Xenopus tropicalis: one gene and its partner. The protein of the gene in region 1 binds, or shares a complex with, the protein of each later gene. Links are inferred from orthologs where the notes say so. Each region holds a gene or a part of one and is shown on either strand. Other genes may lie near its edges.

The links.
Region 2: the proteins of ywhah (region 1) and numb are in contact, whole or in part, in a crystal structure (PDB 5YQG), measured with the Mus musculus proteins. The link is inferred for Xenopus tropicalis from reciprocal best matches to the Homo sapiens genes YWHAH and NUMB. Residues at the interface, in NP_035868.1 of Mus musculus: Arg57, Arg132, Tyr133, Leu177, Asn178, Val181, Glu185, Ile222, Leu225, Asn229; in NP_001129547.1 of Mus musculus: Gln274, Gly275, Ser276, Phe277.

Annotation. Positions count from the first base shown.
Region 1 is NC_030677.2:152,232,994-152,237,380, reverse strand, and holds ywhah (14-3-3 protein eta), read right to left. Parts: upstream 3,084-4,387; 5' UTR 2,952-3,083; coding exon 2,865-2,951; intron 2,293-2,864; coding exon 1,636-2,292; 3' UTR 818-1,635; downstream 1-817. Other genes in the region: GATOR complex protein DEPDC5, read right to left, coding at 4,203-4,387. UniProt on the Homo sapiens protein: Adapter protein implicated in the regulation of a large spectrum of both general and specialized signaling pathways. Binds to a large number of partners, usually by recognition of a phosphoserine or phosphothreonine motif.
Region 2 is NC_030684.2:106,105,570-106,108,166, reverse strand, and holds the end of numb (protein numb homolog), read right to left. Parts: intron 2,424-2,597; coding exon 1,735-2,423; 3' UTR 580-1,734; downstream 1-579. UniProt on the Homo sapiens protein: Regulates clathrin-mediated receptor endocytosis. Plays a role in the process of neurogenesis.

The DNA of each region.
Region 1 (4,387 bases):
TAATCCTGTCTGCTTGTGGATGACTTGGCCAAACCAATAATTCCATCTGCCAGTGCAGCATGCTGAAATGTATTTTGGCTGATGAGGAACTGAAGAGCTGCAGCTTCTTTTTACTCCCTGCAATTCCGAAAATGGAATCTGACCATCCACAGCGAGTTTTATATATCAGTCAGTCTTGCCTGCAGGCTGTTCCTTCAGTTATCTTTTGGGAATCAACCAGAGTATGGCCATCTTAGGGGCTAGCCACCTGGGTTTCTAAAGGCAGAACAACAGTGAGATGGAATTAGATCAGTGCTTGTGTTGTGCACCACAAAAATAATAGGGACTAGCCTGTAACAATACTCATCTTAAAATAATAGTTAAAAAAAAAAGGAATATTGGTGTGTGCAGCCTCAGGGTGTGCGGCTTTATTTCATAGTAGAACTAAAGGCATGCATCCTAACTAAACTGCAAGTCGATCACGCAGGTAACCTTGTGTCTGAATAACTAGCACCCTAAGCAGCCTACTGGTACTGGTGTATATTTCCCACATACATATAAAGTTCATGATTTTCCATGATCCATGTGTGTTTCATGTGACAAAAGCAAGATACAGTTAAAATGAATGATTCATGGTAATGATAAACATCTGTCACTATCAAATCAATTGTGATTTTGCCTAAAACCCTAACCCCACCCTTTTTCCCTATCACCCTCGGCTGATCCTAGCAACTAGCTTCCAGATGTGGTATAATGTGGATTACATATGGATACTGAGGGCTAGGTATCCATGTCAAGCCCAATCTAGGAAAGACACAAGAGGCCAGTGTAGATTTTATATCCTCAAAGCAGCATTTATTTCATCCAAGTAATCCCAAGACATTTAAATTGGGTGTCTGGCATTATATCAGCATCCATTGTAACAGGCGAGTACACACTGTGCAGGTGTAGCCAGACCATACAAGGACTGACCAGCACACAACTAACAATCAAATAATGAGGCCCTCAAAAGTAGCAGAAAAATAATAAAAAAATAAAATAAAACAAAATGAAAAAAAGAGCATCCAAACCCACAGGAGATGCAGAATTATAAACACGCCATAAGTTAAAAGGGCACTGAGAAACCTCACAAAGCTCACATGTAAAACGTCTATTGTAAGCTAAAAAAAAAAAAAAAAAAAAGGATGTGGCTCCCTATCCCTCTGAGCACTGGCCAATCACAGTCTTAGCTGTGGCGGCACCTCACCAGAAGGGGACCAGGGCAATATTACATGCACAAGGAATGCTGCACAAATTAAAACTAAACCAGAGTATCTTAACGGAATAAAACAGGACCACTTTGCTTCATTCCAGCCCGTACTTGCCCTATCAACTAGGAGAGTTTGGGCGCCTTTCTTAAACCGCAGCTTCTCTTCAACCCCGCTCAAGGCGAGGGAAACCTAAGAAACAGCTGATGTGCCAACGCAATCCAGCAATGCCCAAGAGGACTCCGCAAGAACCCGTTCTCCCCAGGCAGGCAGCAGTATGAGCAGTTGTGCCAATGATACGGATATGATAAGCACAGGACATGTTTGGGGTTAAGGGTTGGAAGTGTGGGTGGCAAGTGGTGTTGGGGAGCGGGTCATTAATGGGCAGCAGCAAAACGCAGGGCCCTCTTTAGTTGTTCCCTTCTCCAGTCTCTTCATCTTGCTGGTCACTTGTCCACAGGGTCAGGTTGTCACGCAGCAGCTGCATAATGAGGGTGGAGTCCTTATAGGAATCTTCATTTAGCGTATCTAGCTCAGCAATGGCATCATCGAAGGCCTGCTTGGCAAGGAGACAAGCCTGCTCGGGGTTACCCTGTATCTCATAATAGAAGACAGAGAAGTTAAGGGCCAGGCCCAGTCGGATGGGGTGGGTCGGCTGCATGTGTTCTTTGCTGATTTCAAAGGCCTCCTTGTACGCGGCTTCGGATGCTTCGGTCACACTTCGCTTTCTCTCTCCTGAGCCCACCTCTGACAGGTAGCGATAGTAATCGCCCTTCATCTTTAGATAGAATACTTTGCTCTCGTACTGGAAGTCGTTGCAGTTCTTGATGAGAAACTTGTCTAGAAGTGACAGCACTTCACTACATACCGCCTCCAGCTCTGCCTCGATCTTCTCTCGGTAGGCTTTCACCTTTTCCAGTTTCTTTTCATTGCCATCTGCTAGTGTCTTCTGCTCAATGCTGCTTATCACACGCCATGAGGAGCGGCGTGCCCCGACCACGTTTTTGTAGGCTACAGACAGCAAGTTCCGATCCTCGTTAGACAAAGGCTCGTTCAGTTCTGTGACCTACAGAAAACAGGGATAAGATGCCAATCAGAACACATGCCCACATAATATCAGAAAGTGATAATAATCTCTATGGGGAGCTGTAGCCTGCAATACACAGGAGACCTCAGTGGCCTTCGTGGCTACTACTTTGTGTTCTTGGTCACATACAATGCACTGTTTGTGGATCTGTAATCTGTGCCTCACTTCTATACACCCCAAGGTGTGATTCACTAACGGAGATCACACCCAGTTTTAATCTGTGATTAAGCTGCCATTAGGTCATAATTAAAAATGAAATGCGACAGAATGAACCAGCTAGTGGTGGTACAGTGTCACTGGTAGAAGTTGCCTCTGTTACTGTGAGCAGAAAGGCTGCATGTGCCAATGGTGCACTCTCCGGCACCCATACACTGCTGCCCCACCCCGCCCACATACTACATGCAGATCCGCTTACCAATGCACATATATTGCAATAAATACAGATATTCATGTGTATAGGTGCAGTTTCTATGGCAAATCCATTCATTGCACAGGCATACTAATTGTTTAGTACAAGGATATACACATATAGGCTATAAAGACATACTTACCGATTTCATTGCTGCCGCCATGTCCTCATATCTTTCCGCCTGCTCCGCTAAGCGGGCTCTCTGCAGCAGCTGCTCCCGATCAGCCATCCTTTCAGCAGGCGGGCTAGATCAGACGCCGGTCTGTGCTGTGGATCCGGTACCAGTACCACCCTAGCTCCCGAACACTGTCAGCGCGCTGGACCAGGTTCTGCTACTAGCAGCACTTCAGCCCAGGACGCACTACCGAGGGGCGGGGCAAAGGCGGAGCCTTACGGAACATTTCTAGGTGACGTCATGATCTATTTATAGAGACTACTAAGAGCATGCGTAGTGGAAGTGCTGCATTGCACTGCAAGAAGTGGGGGCCCTGGGGTAGGAGGGGGCTGGGAATGGAGAGCGCTACAAATTGCTGCTGTCACTGAATGCAAGTCCTTATAGGACAGCGCCCCTTCCCTCTTTAGTAACGCACAAACTTCAGTCCCGTTACAAAGCCCAGCTTTATTATGCAGCGTTCTACATCAGTATTTCACACAAGGAATCTCAGGTACATTCTTGTCAGCTTTCTGGAATAACAATGCGCACTTCCAAGGTTATTGCCATAAAATACCTCCAAATCCCGTCCCTAAGCATACGGGCCTATGGCAACAGTTTCTCTTCAAGCACTGTGTGATGAATTTCCACACCTGCCATAAGCTTTATGCAGAGCTGGTAAATCTGCTATACATTTTGTTTCAGAAGCAGCAATGTACCTGTATAGATGTTACATCATAGCATGCCAAACACTTCTCTAGAAGCAGCCACTGATCTGTTTGGCAGCCTGCTGTCTGGGCACTGTGCAACTGCATCAGTATGGCATGTATCCTTCACTTTAAGCCAAGGCCCCCAAGGGCAGAGGCACAGCCTTCATGGTTAACTGAGAACATAAGTTATTCTCCCATTAACATGGAGAGAGACCAGTATATATACAAATCGACCAGCACTACTCTGTGGGGAAACTACAAGGATTTAGCCAGGGCACAGCTTCAGCACTGCCCTTTCATGAGCCATAATCCAGTGTCAGCTATTTTTAAAGTGCAACACTGCTTTTACGCTTTACATTTTCAAGACAATCCTAAGTGAACTGGTCTTTGTAAAGAATGTCCAATAAGCTTGAACCACTATCATAGTGAATATGATATTTTACAACTTAGGTTGGTCAACGCAAGAACTACTTCTACACACGTTAGCAACGAATGGAAAAGGCACAGAGTATGCTCCTCTTGGAGGAGAGACTGTCTATGCACCATAGACACTGTTGTCTTGACTTTGGTTGCAATCTCCTTGCAATCCTCCTGTTCAGCGTAGATACTGCAGGCATATCTAAGGCGCACTTGTGTTCATTTTCTCCAAGCAGTTTGCCCAGAATGTGCCTAACCTGTTATCTCTGTTGGCACAGAAGTCAGTAAAGTCTTTAAGCAGTCGGTCAGCAAACCTCTCATCTCCTGTACCAATGGAGCGCCACGTTTTAGTCAGCATGGTATTGTAGGCCCAATTATACCCTATGC
Region 2 (2,597 bases), on another chromosome or scaffold:
GCCCCTATGTGGACTGGTAGCCTATAGAAGGCTCCATTTGGCTTTTCACTGGGTTTTATGCAACCAAAACTTTCCTCCAAGCCAGAAATTCAAAAATAAGCTTTGAGGCCACTGGGAGCAATATCCAAGGGGTTGGTGAGCAACATGTCACTCACAGACCACTGGTTGGGGATCACTGCTTTAAAGCATAACATTTAACACAGGAAGACCGCACCACTTCTGTAGTTTATATCTTTCTTGTATTTTCTATTTCTTTTCCACTCATCTTTACTTTCCTCTATCATTACCTAGTCCTACCCCTACCCTCCCTCATTCCTTTCTATTCCTCAACATATACGATAGCCTCTTTCTAAGGTATCTATATTAGAAATAGATAAGATGTAAAGAATGTGGAAACAAAATTGTCTGAATGTAAAAGGCTATAAATGTATAATGTGAAGCTTTACTATCTTTTTGAAAATAAACGGATTTAATACAAAAAAAAAAACAAAAAAACATTTAACACAGAAAAGTAAAAAAAAAAACAAAAAAAAAAAAACTACAATTGGCCAAGCACAAGAAAACCACAAGAAAAGAAGCTTTTTTTCCACCACCAACATTTATTTGTTAAAGAAGACTGTAAATCAGTACAAATATACACATAGATGCGAAACCAACATTTACACATAAAGAAGAGAGTGTGTGCTTAGGATGATTTGAGGTATACAATAAAAAAAATAAAACTATGAATGAAAAGAATTTACAGAAACAGTGAAAGTCAATAATGAGAATGAAATAAAGTCTTCTGTGCATTAGATCATAGTGGTATTAAAAGTCTAAAACATATATATTAATATATATAATCATATATATTAATATATAAATATATATAAGTATACATATATAAAAACTCCAGCGGTATGCCAAAAAGAAACATTTATATAGAGAATATATATATCTTTCTTGTGTAATATCGGATTACAGGAAAGAAAATAGTCCGCTATGGCTGTTACACCATGCAATACTGCTCTTTCATTAAAAGTATAATAGAGATATTTCTCTTGGTCGTGATTGTTTAAAGCAATGTGCTACATACAAGGAAGGTGGCCTAAAGCGCATGAAAATAAAACCACAGCCAGTCCAGTTCTTTAGGAAATAGCAGCTAAATCTTATATACAATTAATGACAACTGAACTTTCCAGCTTCGTTTAACCTTTGGCAAGATTACTTACAAACTTATGAATTAACCCACGCTATTTAAAATATTTGTAATGCATAAAAATAAAGATTTTGGCTTGAGCCCTTTGCTGCCAGAGCGGGCTGCAATGCAATACTCAACAGTGTGCTCCAGCCCCCTTTGGCATAAAAGGCAGTTAAACATTTCCCCCCCACCCCCCTTTCAGTCTCCATACATATTTACACATATCTTTCAATATGGAAGCTCAGGCACTGCAGTGGTTCTGCAGAGAGTCATATCTCCAGTGGGCGGCCAGTTTTACTCCCGCCTTGCCATGACCACTGTCCAGGTTCGTCTCTGATTTTCTGTGCCAACGCAGGGTAGATGAGATCTGTGGGGATGGATATTCTTAATATTCCCACAGACCTCCATTGCAGTTACTGTCCAATGGAATTTTCATGCCCCCCCTCTTGGTCCTTTTATGTGTAATTCTAAAGAGATGGATTTGCAAGAAGAGATTTGGAATCCTTAAAACACTGCTACTCCTCACAGAGACTGTTTGCTTGTTCAGTCCAACTCTATAGTTCAATTTCAAAAGTCTTTTGAAGGTCACTAGAGAAAGGATTTGTAGGAGATGGGTTTGCACGTGGTCTAGATTTGCCTTCAAGAGCTGCCCATTGAGCTTCAAATGGGTCTACAGGAGGAGGGGCAGCTGGAGCTTGCTGGCTCTTAGCGCCCAATTCCCACCCACTACTTTCAACCCCATTAAAAGCAACAGAGCCATTCTGTTGCTGGGCAGGAGGCTTATAGAATGGACTGCTGGATGCACTGGATGCTTCATAAGTTGGATAGGTTTGCTGTGTGGCTAAATTTGGAGATGGCTTAGGCTGGAATACCTGTGGACTTGCAACTCCGAAAACATTAGCTACCATTTGAGAAGGGGTTATGCCAACAACTGGAACACTGGAAGCTGGGTAGCTCATTCCATTGGCTACAGAGTATGGTGGCTGCACAGGCATGAAGGGAGGGTGCAGACCTGGGACAACAGAGACAGGCATAGACTGTGAGGTCACATAAGCATTGGCCAGGTAAGGCTGGTTAGGCTGTGGTGCGGCAAGGGCAGGTTGTACCATAGGCTGAGTTGGGACTGCAGGAACTGGAGACTGTCTTTGCATGATTGTTTTGGATACTTCTTCAAGCCAACGGTCTGCCTCAGAGGGTGTTCGTTTGTGGTTTGACTGGTGAGTACCAGATGAAGGGACAGGACCTAAGAAAAAATAGTTAAAACAGTGAGTATACATATGAAAGGAGTTCAAGTTGTAACCTCAACCCTTTTATAGGGCAACAGAGTATGTGTCAAAATTCCAAACTAGTCTGTTATACAAATGCATGAATCAAAGAATGCTATTTTAGCCACTTTCAAGTAGCTGCTAATAATAAT